Linked DNA regions of Drosophila melanogaster. The protein of the gene in region 3 binds, or shares a complex with, the protein of the main gene of each other region. Each region holds a gene or a part of one and is shown on either strand. Other genes may lie near its edges. The genes, in order: Nelf-A, NELF-B and Nelf-E.

Evidence for each region.
Region 1: Nelf-E (region 3) and Nelf-A share a complex: the UniProt entries of both Drosophila melanogaster proteins name them as parts of the NELF complex.
Region 2: Nelf-E (region 3) and NELF-B share a complex: the UniProt entries of both Drosophila melanogaster proteins name them as parts of the NELF complex.

Annotation. Positions count from the first base shown.
Region 1 is NT_033777.3:21,221,814-21,229,714, reverse strand, and holds Nelf-A (negative elongation factor A), read right to left. Parts: upstream 6,012-7,901; 5' UTR 5,846-6,011; coding exon 5,636-5,845; intron 5,527-5,635; exon of another isoform or gene 5,126-5,526; intron 4,940-5,125; coding exon 4,685-4,939; intron 4,618-4,684; coding exon 3,211-4,617; intron 3,065-3,210; coding exon 1,901-3,064; intron 1,784-1,900; coding exon 1,352-1,783; intron 1,289-1,351; coding exon 1,133-1,288; intron 1,061-1,132; coding exon 929-1,060; coding exon of another isoform or gene 890-928; 3' UTR 203-889; downstream 1-202. Other genes in the region: CG3337 (uncharacterized protein), read left to right, coding at 6,182-6,458, 6,521-6,858; Oga (O-GlcNAcase), read right to left, coding at 7,076-7,901. UniProt on the Drosophila melanogaster protein: Essential component of the NELF complex, a complex that negatively regulates the elongation of transcription by RNA polymerase II. Has an essential role in postembryonic development.
Region 2 is NC_004354.4:7,725,496-7,730,173, reverse strand, and holds NELF-B (NELF-B), read left to right. Parts: upstream 1-1,812; 5' UTR 1,813-1,890; coding exon 1,891-2,022; intron 2,023-2,100; coding exon 2,101-3,399; intron 3,400-3,461; coding exon 3,462-3,815; 3' UTR 3,816-4,178; downstream 4,179-4,678. Other genes in the region: CG12155 (uncharacterized protein), read right to left, coding at 1-512, 800-983; hira, read right to left, coding at 4,429-4,678. UniProt on the Drosophila melanogaster protein: Essential component of the NELF complex, a complex that negatively regulates the elongation of transcription by RNA polymerase II.
Region 3 is NT_037436.4:8,598,878-8,602,916, forward strand, and holds Nelf-E (negative elongation factor E), read right to left. Parts: upstream 2,003-4,039; 5' UTR 1,867-2,002; coding exon 1,786-1,866; intron 1,728-1,785; coding exon 1,210-1,727; intron 1,121-1,209; coding exon 954-1,120; intron 890-953; coding exon 813-889; 3' UTR 565-812; downstream 1-564. Other genes in the region: CG43078 (uncharacterized protein), read left to right, coding at 1-31; RpL14 (ribosomal protein L14), read left to right, coding at 2,158-2,160, 2,437-2,538, 2,771-2,965, 3,226-3,426; CG5989 (uncharacterized protein), read right to left, coding at 3,638-3,976, 4,038-4,039. UniProt on the Drosophila melanogaster protein: Essential component of the NELF complex, a complex that negatively regulates the elongation of transcription by RNA polymerase II by RNA polymerase II. The NELF complex, which acts via an association with the DSIF complex, causes transcriptional pausing.

The DNA.
Region 1 (7,901 bases), on a different chromosome or scaffold from region 3:
AATGATTATTGGTATTACAACTGCTCTTACAGCCAATTTCAAAATTCAATCACATACCACGCCAATAGGTCTTTAGAATTCCACTTGGGCGCAGACCACTTGATAACCAAATTGATCAATTGATCGAGTGTTTGAATATCCGAGTGAGTTGACGTTTGCATGACCTACATTTTCCATAATCAAGCACAAGAGCAGATGTTTTAACATTTAAGCCATAAATACATATGCTAGTTTTATTGTTTGTCTATTACACATTTCAAGATTTAAGTTAATTTTGCTGTGGTGGCTGCGACTCATACATATATATCTAAAACTAAATATATTTTCATTAGATTTCTAATGAATACGAGCGCCGATCAGCGTCTCTAAATTTTATGCTGCTTGGTAAGATAATTACACACTTTTTACTCGACAGCAATTACATAAGCTAGGTATATATATGCAGTTTTAAAATGCATGTGTGAGGCATGTGTGTGTGCCTATGTGATCCGTCCAAACGCTCACTTCTGGCCCATCCGCCTTGCCAACTGCTCTCCAGTGAAGCGTTCAGCCAGAGGTGATTATGCCAGTGTGCTTGGATGAATGGGTGTTTTTATGGATGTACGAACGGGCCTGTTTACTAAATGTTTAAGCGCTAGCCTTTACTACATTCTAAACAACTGTACAGCTAAATTATCTTAATTATAAAATAGTTTCATTATATCCAGCATTTCTTAGGGCGTCTTGCTGACTGCGGGAGGTTGTGGTGAGGGTTTTTAGGAGAGAGGGGGTTTATAATAGCCTAATTAGGGGCGGCAGCGAAGCAGCCCATGCAGAACGGATGACAAATTAAAATACATATTCAACAATCCATATACGCACAAACCAGTTGCAGCCTGGCTGTCCCTGCTCACTTGTTGCTGCGAACTATGCGTATGACCCTTGTGGACTATGAGGCGGCACTCTGGTCCTGCAGCCTGTAGTTTTGGAATGTCTTCCACTCACCGGTGTTGTAGTCCAGCCGGATGTGTGACTCAACCAGGCACAGTGCCGTGTGGCCGTTGTCCTGTTGTACTTTTTCCTGTAACAATTGACATAAAGCATTGAGAATTAACCAAGGCAGAAGCTTGAAATAAATCGCAAATAGCCTTACCTCTGTTTCGCCCAACTTGATGACCAGCACGTTTTCGTTATTTGGGCGCGGGTTTTCCCGCAGACCCGCCATAAATCCAAGGATAAGGGCTTTGTCAGGTCGCGAGACGCGATTTGCCTTGCGGAACATTTCGTGCGCCTTGTGCACGTGTTCGTTCTAGAAGAAACCACAGGACAGGATTGAAATCTAATTTTAAAGAAATATGTGCAATGTTGTTACCGATAGAGAGAGTCCACGTCGCTGGGGTGCCTGCTGCGATTGCTGTTGCGTAGCTTGCTGCTGCTGTGGTTGCTGCTGCTGCTGAGCTTGCACCTGCACCTGCACGGTACGCGGGAGCCCCGCATTCGGATTTCCCTGCTGTCCCTGTCCACCGCTGGTGGTGGAGGTGACCAAACGCTGCTGCAGGGTCGGAGCCGGCTTGTGTTGGACCAGGATTTGTTGCTGCTGCTGGCGCGGCTGCTGTTGCGACGCCGCCGCCGCCGTGTTCGATTGGGTAATAATCGTGCGCTGCGTGCTGCCCGGCGCCGCCTGCACCTGCACCAGCTGCGGCTGCTGGCCCGGCCGTTGAATTAGCGTCAGGCCCTGCGGCAGCGTGGTCAAGCCTCCGCCCACGTTGGTCATAACGGGCCGAATGATGGTCTGCTGTTGGGACTGATAGATACAAATGTGGTTAGATTTTTACATATAGCAACATAGTGGACGTGGGGAAAAGAGATTTACGATTTCTATTGCCAATAATGTTTGGCAAAACATAATTTATACACTTACATTCCCGATGACATTGGTGGGTTGCTGCTGCTGCACAATAACGTGCTGTCCTCCAAGCGAGCTGGTTGGTATGAGAGTGGGCAGGATCTGCTTTCCAGACTGTTGCTGCTGCAACTGTACACCGCTCGAGGGTGTTGTCTTCACCAGACTCGGCGGCCCAGCTGTGGTTGTCATCAGCGTGGTGCCTCCGAGTCCCTGCATGTTGCCCACATTGCTGATTGGTATTTGCTGGTACATATCGCCGCCAATGTTGCGCAGTATAACGCCCTTCTGGGTGAGTATGATGGTCTTGTTCTTTCCGGACGTAGGGGATACGTTCAGAGCGGATACACCACTGGTGCCAACTGCTGCAGTTGGCTGCATTAGAACCTGAGACAACTTGGGCTGCTGCGTGGCCGTCGTATTGGCAACGATCGTGTGCTGTGGATGCGGTTGCTGCTGCTGCAACTGGGCCTGCATATGCTGCTGCTGGGCGGCTTGGGAGGCTGGTTGGATGGTCACTGGTCGATTGGGTAGCTGCACATTCTGAATGTTCAGGGTTGTCTGACCCGGGGAAACTACTGCCGCCGAAGTGGCCACCAATGGCGGAGGATTCGACGACACCACAGCGGTGGCCTGTTGCGGCTGCGCTTGGCGCAGAGGCGTCATCACCACGCTTGAAGAGCCCGATGTCTTTAGCAAAATCTTGGTCGGCGTCTGACCGCTTCCGCTAGGAGTAGTGGCTTGGTAAAGCGTCGTAGTCTGCGGCATAGGCCGACTGTGTGAGAACGAGGTAAGCGTTGGCAAAATGGGCTGTTGCTGTTGTTGCTGCTGTTGAATTTGTTGCGGTTGCTGCTGGGGTGTGGCTAGAATATACTGCGTCTGTTGCTGCTGAGGCTGCTGTGGTAACTGCGCCTGCTGTTGGGTCTGCTGCTGGATTTGCTGGTGTAACAATTGCTGCTGCGACTGTTGTTGCTGCTGCTGTTGCGAAGCGGCCGCTGCACTGGAGGTTCCAGCCTGTTGTTGGGCTCGCTTTGCCGGCTGGATAATAGTCTGCGATATGATCACTGGTCCGCTGTTGGTAGCCGTCTTCAGCTGGCTCAGTGGCATCGTCTTTATGGCTTGCGACGGTATCGTCGTGGTAGTTGTGGCGGAGGTACTGCTACTAGGCAAAGCCAAAGCCTTCTGCAACCGAAGAATTAAGTTAATTAGCAAAGAGGGACTAAGTTTCATTATGGCAGGTGATAGAATTTCAAATATTTGTCCAGGAAAATTAAAGAAATTCCTAACTAAAAGTTCTCCAATAGAGCTACGCATAATTTTATACTTACCGCTCTCTGAGCGCTGGGCGAGGACGCCAAGATCACGGGTGTGGAGCTGTTAATCAAAAGCGGGGGATGCGACTGCTGAGGCGCCTGCTGAACCTGCAACGTTTGCGGCTGCTGCGACTGAGTCTGGCTGCCACTGGATGTTGCCGCTGCTGCAGCTGCCGCTTTCGCCTTGGCAGAGGTTATCTTCACGGAGATATTGTTGGGCAGATTGGCCAACGGATTGGCCGCCTGACGCAGTTGCTGCGGGGTAAGAAGTGTAGTCGTAGTGCCCGCACTCGTCGAAGGCGAGACACCGGTGGCGCGTATCATTGGCTTGATGTCCAGCTTCTCCATCTTGATGGTGGTATTGCCCACAGTGGTTGTGGTTGTGCCTGCACTCGTGGTTGCCCCGTTGTTCTGCCGCTTCTGCGGCGAACTGCGGATAAGCAGGTGCGGGGTGCGCTGCACCAAACTAGGCGGCTGTTGCTGGATACTGACGCGTTGGGTCGACGGTGAAGTTTCGATCTTTTCGAGTTTGATGCTGGCGGGTACTATGATCTCCTCGCTCTTGATCTCTATTTCCTGCTTGATTCGTTTTGGGGTGTGATTGAAGCTGTTGTTGTTGTTGTTGTTGTTGTTGTTGTTCAGTTTTGCTGCGGATTTCGGAGTTCGCGGCGTCTTCAGCTTCGTTTCTACTGCTGGTTTTCCCGGTTGACCATCCGCCACGGACGTCGAAGTGGCCTGGGCAAAGTCCAGCGTGGCTGTAGCGTACTCCGGCGTCTCGATATCGCATTCCATATTCGCTTTGCCAGACATCTCATCGTCTTGCGGCTCTTCCAGGCTTCCAGCGCTCTGGTTGAGTTGCTGCGGTTCCATTTTGATTTCGAAGCTGTTGTTAGCTGACGTGGGCGTGACGGGTGTTTCGCCTCCACTGGCAGTCGCCGCGTCCGTTGGTGAGCTGTCACCAGCATTGCTTGCCGCTGCTGTGGCGGCCGCAGCTGCCGCTGCAGCTGCCTGTTGCTGTTTCTGCTCCTGCTTCTTTTGCTGCTCTTCCAGTTGCTGCTCGCGCTTTCGCTTCTTAGCCGCCGCATAACCCAAGGGCTGTTCGGTGAATTCGATCAGTTTAATGCCACCGTCTTTGCGTCCAGCAGGCGTTCGACTGAGATTGGGGCGCTGGGCGGCATTTCCCGGCACGGTGGCCGAACGGAACCCAGTGGTGGGCATGCGAGATGGGATTCCCTTCAGCGGGGTAGTGTCTGTCATCTTACGTGGCATGCCACGCGATCGCAGCGGTATTGTGGGGGCCGAGGCCTTCTTCAGCGAGGACTGCGCATCGGCTGACTTGTGTAACAATTCGGTGCGCAACTGGGCGCTCTTCGGCTTGCGCTTCAGCGTAAAATGCTTGACGGGAGCGGGTTGCTGGCCCACCTGAATTAAACAAGAAAAAATTATTAGTTCAAAACAGGTAAGATTTAGTAAGTTTGTCTATACCCACCACTGAGATCAGTGCGTTTTTATTTAGGTACTGGCACTCCAGAGGCAGCATGCCGAGGTCCGAATGCTTTGTGACCAGCTTGCGCAGGTCGTTGACCATGTCTATGAAGATGGGACGCGTGTCCTCGTAATCGGAGATCTCGGTGTTGAGCGAACTGGTCGCCGGAAAGGTCTTCATCGTCTCCGCCAGCATGGAAACCCATAGCTCTGAATCCAGGCCGGCTACCTCGATCACCTCCTCAAGTTCCGCCTTCCACTGCAAATTGCAATCAAATCAACAATGGGTTGGGTTGCATAAATAAATTGACAACTCGATGCTCAAATACACTTTCAGGTAATAGATACAATGAATATTTACGATCTGGTAGTCCTGGTATGATCGATTAAATACAGATTTTAATTACACTATAACGGCACGTTGCAAATCAAATAAAAAATCAATAGTTATTTGTATTTATACTTGGTCTACCAGCTCAGCAGCCTGGAGATACAAATGTATCTTTTAACTGCGATGTCAAACGTCTGATAAAATTCGAATTGCTCTGTGGGAAGGGCACAACAAACAAATGAATCCGCGGCCACCCACAACAGCCCACTCACACATGAACACACCGAGGCACACGGGAGAGAAATCCACGCACAAGTGTCGGAGAGAGAGAAATGTGTACACAAAAGCAGAAGTGGCGGGAAACGTTGCTAATATTTATTTTCACCAACCCGCGAAATCGCCCGGGGGGGAAATGTTAAAAGGCGAAGAAATGTGCTTTGGGGTCCGCCAGGTGATGGGATCTAAGAGATTTTCCGAGTATTTAAAAATTGTCCGCACTTTTTGTTTCAACAACGGTAAGTGTACTCCGTGTACGTGTGCGCGCGGGCCGCAGTATGCGTGCGTATGCACTGGTGTACTTTTTCCATACACCAACGCCATTTCAATTCATTGGATTTCATTTACCTCCTCCACCAGACGGCGCGGGATGTGAAGGAAGCTGAGTAGGAGCTTCAGTTTGACCTGCGTTTGCAGATCGGGGAAGCATTCCTTGATGTTGCGCAGCACCTCCTTGTTCAGCTGCGAGCAGATGGAGCCGTTTATCCACGAGTCGTTCGAGGTGCCCAGTTTATTATGCAGCCACAGTGATGTGTCGCTGTCCCTTACGTTCGCCATTTTTTCGAATTACGCCTGTCCGCACGCGGGGCACACACTGCAATTTATGCCAAACGTTGACCCGCCCTGTTGCACGGCACTATTTGATGGCGTTTTTCACTTTCTGCCGCGCTGCACGTCAACAAGACACACGAAAAATCCTTCGAAAAAATTGTAATAGGAAGCGCACGCACACATCAAACGCACGAAAAAAGTGTTGCCACATGTCAAACAGTGTGCACGGTCCAGTGGTGCAAAACGCCGTTGTAACAGCGCCCCCTGCAGGGCTACCAGCTATCGATAAATAATCGCTGAATACTAAGCAATTGAGGTAAACATGAATTTCTGATAATAGAAATGGAACTCCTCAACGAATCTGCTCCGAATCCGCTTGCCAAGACGCCGAAAAGTGGCATGTCCACGGGCGGCAAGATCCTGATAGCAGCAACGGGCGGAGTAGGTATCGGTCTGTCGATTGTGTGCGCCTCCTTTGTGGCGCCTGCATTCCGGAGGATTTGCTTGCCTTATGTGCCAGCGACGACCGAGCAAATACAGAACGTTCTCAGCTTCCTGCCCAAGAATTCGGCCGGAAAACTGCTGGACATTGGATCCGGCGACGGACGGATTGTAGTGGGTAAGTACGCTTCACCTAGTCCATTTAAAAACATTGCAGATAACTTATGTAATTCTTTCCAGCTGCGGCACAGCATTGTGGTGCTCTAAAAGCAGATGGCGTGGAGCTAAACCCATGGCTGGTCTACTACTCGCGCCTGGCCGCGCTGCGTCACAGCGTTTCCAAACGGACGAGATTTTTTCGGCGAGATCTCTGGAAGTTCGATATAAAGGACTACAACTTCGTGGTCATTTTTGGGGTTGAGCAGATGATGCAAGATCTAGAACACAAACTCATTGCTGAGTGTCCGCACAACACCAAGATTATCGCCTGCCGCTTTCCACTACCCAGCCTAGAGCACGTGAAGATTATAGAGGACGGAGTAAACACCGTCTGGTTCTACGACCTGAACAAAAGCTAGCAAAAGTTTTATTAAATTGGTATTTTTATTGTTTTTCTCAGTAAGAAAACAATGCTTACGATAAATGCTGGAAGGGTTGGTCAGTTATACAAACTTTATACCTCAAGGGAATACAAAAAGGACGAGGACATGACGTGAGTAGCTAGCACCGCTAGCCGGAATACCAAAGATGAAGGAACATTAAAAGTGGAGGCAGTGAAGGTGGCAACCAGCTACGCTAGAAACGGCGACCCATGTAAATACACTTGGTGGCCTCCTCGCGATAGACATCCACGAAACCGATTCTGGAATAAAAGTTCACCTGGGCGACATCTTGTTGCGGAACGCGAACGTGAGCACCAAAGCAGCCGTTCGCACGCAGGGCGGCCAGAAGTACGGTGAGCATCCGCTTGGTTATTCCCGAGTCGCGCTCCTCCGCTTCGCGCAAAGTTCCGGAGATCAACACGGCAGGGAAGGAGCCGCTCACCTCTACGGGACACTGGTCCAGAGCCCCGTTACCGCTGCTGTCATGATAACTCTCCACAAGGGAGGTGACGAGCTGTACAACCTCCTCGCCACCCTCCAGTGGACAAATATCTCTAGAGTACTTCTCACGCAGTTCCGTGTACCAGCACAGCTCCAGGTTGCGTCGAAATATGTTGACATCCAGGGCGGCGCATGAATATCCAATGATACGGTTACTCTCGTCGTAGGCCACAATGCACAGTTGCGGACTGAGGGTGAGATATCCACCGATCAGCCCATCCGCCACAATGTTTGGCACATTCGCCGGCAGCGGGAACGGAATGTGCCTGCCTCCGTCCAGCTCTCCCCGCCACTGCAAATACAGGCGAGTGCACAAATCGTTGACTTGCTGTTCGTCCGAATTGCAGTAAGGTCTCAAGAGATAGTAGTTGGCCGTGGGCTGTTCCGGAAGCTTGTACACGAACAGGTCGTTGCCCGAGTCCACAGGCATCAGGCGTTGCAGGTCGGCAATGAGGCCGCCTCTAAAGACCCACGGCTCCTGATCACCAGACATGAACGCCTCCTTCCAGCCCTTGCTA
Region 2 (4,678 bases), on a different chromosome or scaffold from region 3:
GTGCGGCTGGTGATGATGCTCCTGCTGGTGATGGCCATGATGATGGTGATGGTGGTGCTGCGATACAGTGTCATCCGAGACGCCCTCCTCGTAGGCGGTCAGGATGAAGGTTTCCGCCTCATCGCTGACCAGGGTGATCTGCGAGGTGCCGTGATGTGAGGAGAGCGTGGCGGTATCGTGATCCGATTGCCCGTCATCGTCCATCACCTCGTCGTCGTCATCGTCCACATGCTGTTTCAAATGCAGCATAGCTCCAATGGGCAATGTGGTACTATTCGCGCCTCCAATGCCTCCACCGGCGCCGGCAACCCCACTCGTCTCATAGGTGATCTGTGTGTTCCGGTGCGATTTCAGTTTCGGCTGGTACACCTTCGACAGGAAGTCCAGCTCCTTGGCGTAGCGCCACTTGGATAGCCGCCCTTCGATGTACTTGGGCGTGCGCAGACGGTACTGGTGGAAAGTGTCCCGCAGGTTCTTCCACTTACGACGCACCTCCTGCACCGTGTACTTGTCTGGAAGAAAGAAAGAGGTAGTATAAATATGAGCGGGGTTTCAAAGGAATCGTATTCCTTTTACAGATAATTGATACAAGCTAGAACCTCTTCAAAGGCATCACATTTATGAAAACGTTTCTAAGTAACGATGAAATTATGAGTTGTGTTATAGTAGCCGGCGCCAGAACACTAGCCTATCAATACAATATGCATGTGGTATTTAAAACCAACTTTAGCGGAAGCTTATATTAATTCTGGAAGAAGGCTAATAGTCGGACATGAAGCAGGCCATGACTAGCACTCACTTCCTATCTGCTGGGCCACCTCCTGCCATCCGTTGAGGACATCGGAGCGGCGTCGCTGGTTCGGCTGCAGTTTGTAGTTGTAGAGAACCGGATTCTGGCGCACCAGGTTGATCAGCGTAAGGATGTCGTCCGTGGGCGCGTTGTCCTTGTGGTAGCGCTTGCGCTCTTGCGTCGACGAGGACATGTTGCTTCAGCTTCTGTGGGTTTCCACTGTTGTGCTCTCCCAAATCCTGATGATCCTTATCCCGATACCAATGCTGCTCCTCACATTCAGGTGTTTTGTTTTTGTTTACCCACGAAAAGAGAGGCTTTCGTTCTCGTCGAAATGCACGCACAAACACATACACAAGCGCACTTGAACGGAGCCAAACACCAGCTTATGTAGGTGTAGGAACACGCACGCACACACTCTCGCACACTCGATGCAAAGGATAGCGACTGTGTGCAGCAGGATCTCCTTTGTAGTCGCTACGGGGCACGAATCTCGGCAAGAATCGAGACGCCTTGTCCTTGGCGTTCAGCTCCAATTGTGCGAATTTGACTGCACTTGATGCTCTTGCTTTGCTTTTGGCTGTTTTTGCTGTTGCTTATTTCGCGCTAGGGATGACACATCGCGGAATTGGCGTTCTCTTTCGCCGTCACTGAAAAGCAAAAGTCCGTTTCCCTGTATTTATAATCCTCAATTAAAAGTTACGTTCTTATACAATTAAGTCGTATGGGAATGATGTTCTAAGGCAAACTAATTAAAGGTTTTTATTTTTTGAGTTCAGTTTTTTTACCAACACTATTAGAAATTAGACTTATATTGTATTTGTGGCCCATATAATTTTTTTTTATTATCTTTATTAATTTTTGTAACATTTACCATTCTACCAATAATAATAATACAACTATTTGTTGGCAAAATAATATTAATAACTACATGTTAAACATACAAAGTTGGCTATTACAAGCCGTGCTGATACGTGCACTATCGATAACACCGCACATGTGCAAGCCTGCGCTTATTTTTTTGTCTCCTCGCTAGCAATAAAAAACAACACAATTGTGTAGCTTCGTGTCTTGTTTTGCTCAATTTGCCGACGAATTGCATGATAATGAGCACACCGGCGAAAAATAACAATGGAACTGGACTGGAGGACGTGAATATTCCGGGTCAGGCCTATCTGCGCGAGGCCCTGACCTCCTGCACTGATCCCTTGAAGGCCATCGAGAGTTTTCAGGTTTGTTTACGTTGCACCGAAAAATGGGCGCCAAAAGTTCGGTGGGCTTATTTATCCAAATATCACCTGCCTTTTTAGCTTGAGAATGGTGTATTGCTGCCTTCACTGCGCCCCATGTTGCCTTTACTCGATTTGCACGGCGTGCGTCGACTGGACTTTCATACCTCGCTGATGGAGGAGCTGCGCGACAAGCTGATAGCTCACATCAACGAGATGGGCCAAAAGGAGCCCCGGGAGCGGGACAAGAAGCTCAAGGAGCTGCTCGTTAAGAGCTTCCCCGTCGTTCGGGTGAAGTCGCTGCGGCCCGTGGTCATGGCCATATTGAGGAATACCCAGCACATCGATGACAAGTACCTCAAAATCCTTGTAAGGGATCGGGAACTGTATGCGGACACGGATACGGAAGTTAAGCGGCAGATATGGCGTGATAATCAATCGTTGTTTGGTGACGAGGTGTCGCCTCTCCTCTCACAATATATTCGCGAGAAGGAGCACATCCTGTTTGATCACACCAACTTGAACAATCTGTTCTTCCACCCAACGCCCAAGGTGCGAAGGCAGGGGGAAGTAGTCCAAAAGTTGGCCAACATGATTGGCACCAGTGTCAAGCTGTACGATATGGTGCTGCAGTTCCTGCGCACTCTATTCCTGCGCACCCGCAATGTTCACTATTGCACGCTGCGTGCAGAGCTACTGATGGCCTTACACGATCTCGAGGTGCAGGAGATCATCTCGATAGATCCCTGTCACAAGTTCACCTGGTGCCTGGACGCCTGCATAAGGGAGAAGAATGTGGACATTAAACGTTCACGGGAGCTCCAGGGATTTCTTGACAACATCAAGCGCGGTCAGGAGCAGGTTCTGGGCGATCTGTCCATGACTTTGTGCGATCCGTATGCCATCAACTTTTTGGCCACGTCGGCCATCAAGATATTGCATCACTTGATCAACAACGAGGGCATGCCGCGTGACAATCAGATACTCATCCTGTTGTTGAGAATGTTGGCCTTGGGCTTGAGTGCCTGGGTGATGATCGATTCGCAAGACTTTAAGGAGCCCAAACTTGATTGCCAGGTGGTCACCAAGTTTTTGCCCGCCCTCATGTCGTTAATGGTTGACGACCAGTGCCGCAGCTTGCACGCGAAACTACCGCCGGACGAGCGTGAATCTGCTCTGACCACCATCGAGCATTCGGGACCGGCACCGGATGCCGTGGAGGCGTACATTCAAGAGAGTTCCGTGGCCAGCATATTGGCCATGTACTATACGCTGCACACGGCGCGCCTGAAGGATCGCGTGGGCGTGTTGCGCGTCTTGGCCATTCTGTCCGCCTGCAAAGACGACCGCGCATATGAGGATCCCTTCCTGCACTCTCTGGTTAGCATTTATAGCTGCTTTTCTAATATTTACTTTTCTGACTCGATTGCTTACCTCTACAGATTGCCCTGCTCATCCCCATGAGCGAAGAGTTTGCCACGGAGGACTTCTGCACCACGCTCTTCGACGAGTTCATCTTTGCCGGACTGACGCGCGAGAATGTGACCTCTCGTCACATGCTGAAACTTTTGTGGTATGTGCACAATAAGCTGCCCGCCGGTCGTTTGGCCACATTGATGAAGGCTATGCAGCCGACGACGGCCCACAACGAGCACATCCACAAGTTGTACGAAATTCTGCAGGAGAGAATCGGCACCGGGGCGGCGGAGACGCCGGTCATTGAAGCGCCGCCCATGGAGTTTGATTCGCCGCTAAAGAGTGTGCCAACGCCAGGACCGCACTATAATGTCCAATAGCTAGAGGCACCGGCAGTCGCACCACCTGCGGCTGTCGTCGGATGATGATGGTTATTTGTGATGATGATGTTGATGTTGATGATGATGATCGGAGGCCATGTATGTGGCTACCTCATATACTTCTCTGGAGCAGCCGACCGGATGGCAATCCCCAATTAGCATGCTTGCGCAAATAATAATTCTACTGTTTAGACTAAACATAAAGCACTGCGACCGAGCAATCGGATATAGTTTACATATTTACAGAATGTATGGCTTTGTTGGCAGGCATCAATCAGTTGTCGCTGGCTATTATATATATTATATATTACTGTTACGCTAGTGTAACGATCGATTCTAGTACACAATATAGAGTACAAATCTAAGGCAATGTCTTTTAGTTTCATCAGGGTTTTTGAAAGAAATATTGGTTCCCGGTACCAGTTTCTGTAATCACATACTCAACTTTTAACTCATCTTTACTCAAATTTAATGATTTACATAACTGGAGTTTCTTACGGACATGGATAATTGAAAGATCCTAATAAATTTCGGTATAAAAGTTTTTTAACGCTTATAGCTTAGGGAAATACACACAATTTAGGAGGTTTATTAGGGATAGGAGTCTTTCGTCTCATGTCTGATCTGTTTTGGAACTGGAAACTGGAGCTGATCCCGCTACGGAAGCGGCCGGAGATGTGGAAGCAGCCCCACCGGACGTGGACGCTGGCGAAACTTCCACGGGAGAGGTATCCAACGGAGGTAGTGAAGATGAGGCCGACAAAATCTCATCATCTATGCAAACGGTGGGCGAGTCTAGAGTTTGAATCTCTGGCGAGAGACTAGGAGCTGGCTGTGGCACAGACAGCGATGACGTGGATGAT
Region 3 (4,039 bases):
GCCCGGGAACGATCATGGAAGGCAGACGTGAGGGACTGTGGGCAGTCCCATCCTGGTTTTGTTATCCTTTGGAGCGGTATTGCATTTTGGAGCATCGAATCTGGCCAAGATACTTGGCGGGATGAAGAAACGAATTTAAACGCGGCCAGGTGTCCGCTCGAAACTTGAAGGCCTTAATGATACTAACAAGAAATTACTTTAGGAATGAGGTGCGCCAATGGGGGCGGCGTTGGGCAGGGGCGTGCCCGTGCTACTAGTCACACAAAACAATCGAAACCAGAATCCCAGTTCAATGACCCATCATCACACACATACCGACATCTAACTTGTACTAACCAGAAATATAGAGGGAACATTTTTCAACGTTGTCTACCAACGATATAGAAATCTATATGGCAGAGCATAGCAACAGAAGCAACGATCATGTATTAACTATTTACTTAACTCATGCTATGTACATACATACGACGTTCTCTGTTTCTTGCGAGGAGGGGGCGAGGACCACTAATAAGAACTTATTTTGTTTGCTCATCTTTTCTACCACGTAAGGCAAAGCGAGAGATTCAATTGTTAAACATATTGTTGTTTAATTTAGATCAAAACGTAGGAATTAATATACAAAACATACAATCTTTTTCATTGAATTCATTTGAACGTTATAACTTGAAATGCGAGTACTTAGCCAGAAAGTGAACATATATATAGAAGCGTATTTTCAATAAAGCAAAATTATTTAAAATAAACTGAAATGTGTTCTGTTACTAAGGGATAAAGTAAGTAGAAAGCTAAACGTAGAAACTAATTATTGCGCTCTAGAGCAAGAAGTCTTCATCGTATTGAACCATCTCGCGGTGGTCCTTGTGGCTACCCTTTTGTGATTTGCTGGCGGCTATTTGGGGAGTACATAAGGTTTGATTTCGTTTTTAAGTTATAGAGAAACACTGAGCACTTACCAATAGATGACCAGACTGCCGACGAGGAGGCATCGTTAATGGGCTCAATCTGGGGCTGGCGTCTAGCCAACTGCACCTGCAAGTTGATGCCATTCACATTCTTGCCATGAATCTCCGCAATGGCGCGATCTGCCGACTCGGGTTTGGCGAAGGAAACAAAGCCGCGACTGCAAGGCCATACAGGATAAATTTATAATTTCTCCAGTTGGGAAAATATATATGTAAGCTATAACATGGACTTTCCATGTTCACTTACCTCTTTTCGATCTCCATGGAGACATTGACAATGGTGCCGTAGTCGTTGAATGTCTTTTTTAAGAAATCCTCGGTGACCTTGTTGCCGGACACGAAGATGGTATTGCCGGCCCGTGGCTTCTCTGGCTGCGCTGTGTCCATGGGCACCTTCTCGGGCATGCCGCGCTCCTCTCGATCCCGCTCGGTGGCGAAGTGTTGGTAGAGATTCTGTCGACGCGGCTCCTCCTTAATGATCTCACTAATGATCGTCTCCTGGGCCACGTCGTTCTGCGTAGACGAAAAGGGCTGGTAGGAGGCAACAGTGGTTTCCGAGGTGGAGCGCTTGGCTCTTTCCTGTCCTTTGGGCCGCTTGAAGGAGGTTTGATCTTGCTTGGTCTGCTTCTGGATGGCGGGAATGGCGCCGCTTTTGATTAGTTTCCTGGCCACTTCACGGGCATCTCGCGCATCCGTGGGACGCTTCAAGGTCAAGGAGCTCTCCGGCTCCGGCTTGGGCGCCTTGTGCGCTTGCAGTGCCTTTTTCTACGGGTTAAAAACTTGTTAATATAAATAATCACATTTGTGGCATGAGTTTTCCCACCTTTTTCTTGAGTTTCTGATACTTGGCCTGCAGCATTTGCTCCTCTTCGGTTAAATTGTTGGGGAAGTGTATGTAAACCATGTTGGGAAAATGTCTGCTTGAAATTAACCCCGTAAAAAGTAACTTCTACAAAAGTAATTATGTTATTCCAAAATGTTTATTTTTACTATCGAAATCTATCGAATTGGCTTAGTGTGACTGTAACAGTTGATAGCGAAAAATACCACATAAGATGTGTATGATTTACTGTCACATTAACTATTTCTGCACAACACTAGACCACATGCAACTCTGTGTTTAGCAACACTAACGCCATGCTACCACCGAGCTGTCAAAAAAGTTCTTTCCTTCTCTTTCTTTCCGGTTAGCGTCATGGTAAGAATCGACGAAGGTTTCTGCGGATCGGTTGAAAAATGTGAAAATTCAGCGGTCTAAATGGCCCGAGATGAATTAAATTTGGCGGCCAAGCGAACGGGTCAGTGCGTTGAACGTGTGAATAGCGAAAGCAGCGTAAAAGCGTTGGAAAACCATGGGATATCCAACATTCAAATAGTTCACGTGGTGGTCACCAACACAAGCAACGCGCTGGCCATGCAACAACCGAAATCCAACATTTTCACCCATTTTTAATGGACTTCTCTCTGTTTGCAGCCTTTCGAGAGATTCGTACAAACTGGTCGCATTGCCAAGGCCTCCGCCGGTCCCCTGAAGGGGCGCCTGGTGGCCATTGTCGACGTCATTGACCAAAACAGAGTAAGTGCATCATTCCATAGTGGAGTAACAGCAACAAATTGCCAAGTGACGAGCTCTTGCACATGATGATAATTTGTCTTCTTGATAGGAAGTGCCAACTGACACATAAATGAAGCTAGTTTAACCCTCTGAAAGCAAGCAAGCAAAACCAGCATTTGTTGCTGTACTCCTCCCTTCATGGCCATACATGGTTAAAGTGATCCAAACTAATTAATGGCTTTTCACTTTTCAGGTTCTGGTAGATGGTCCTCTGACTGGCGTGCCCCGTCAGGAATACAGATTGAACAATCTGCATCTGACCAAGTACCGCATCAAGTTCCCCTACACCGCGCCCACGCGCATCGTGCGCAAGGCCTGGACAGAGAGCGACCTGAAGGCCCAGTGGAAGGTCAGCCCCTGGTCCGTCAAGGCACAGAACATCTGCAAGGTATGTACACTGAGCACGAGGAGGATTCGTAGCTGTAGGAAAGTTTACCTATGTAGAGGGGAAAATGTTATACCTCTTCTCTGCCTAGTTGATTACCTCCTTGAACTGCACATGATGATAATTGAAAGTTCTTGATAGGAATTGCCGGCTGACACATATATGAAGCTAATTCTAGTTTATCTGATTACAATCATAGCTAGGCGTCTTCATAAACATTCAGAATAAATCAAGTACTAATGAGAATTTGTCTTCTTTTGCAGCGCTCCTCGTTGAACGACTTTGACCGCTTCAAGCTGCGTTATGCCAAGCGTCAGCGCAACAAGCTGCTGACCATCGCCTTCAACACACTGAAGAAGCGCACCAAGGCTGACGGCACTCCCCGCGTCCTCAAGAAGGATCGTCGCGAGCGTCTGCGTGCCGAGAAGGCCAAGGGTGGCAAGAAGGCCGCGGCCAAGAAGTAAAAAATACTACCTTTAACGAAAGTAACTGCTTGATGAACATCCACCACCATGGAGAAAATAAAAGAAAGTGTTATTTTTAGGAAAAACACAAGCACACTGCCAGCTTTCTTTTGGTTTAACGGTTTTATTTGCTCTCAAGAAACAAAATGATCTTAACAGTCCAATCTTTAAAGCACAGTCTACCAAATAGCTAACGACCAGAGGACCCCGCTCAAGTGGGGCACTTGCCGTAGATGGTCTTCCAGTTGTTGGGATGGTTGTAGCCCAGCAGGATGGGCAAGTGCAGGAACAGCGTGATATGTTCGCCTTGTATCGACGTGGACACCTTGACCCACTTCCGCAGCCACTCGATCATGGCCTCGCTGCTCAGGCTGTCGGGATTCAATCCGCGCAGATAGCAGGAGTAGCGCAAAGCATCCGGTGTCAGGTTGTGAACGCCACCCTCGCGGGTTATGGCCTGGTCCATGTAGTGCACCAGGAAGGCGTGCTCGTGGAGCCGATGTCGCTTGAAGATGCTACTGGGCAGTCCATGAAGGTTGACTAGGTTTCTCTGGAACGTATGCATTAGTGATATGCTTTAGGCTGCATAAAATGTGTCAGATTAAACGTACAA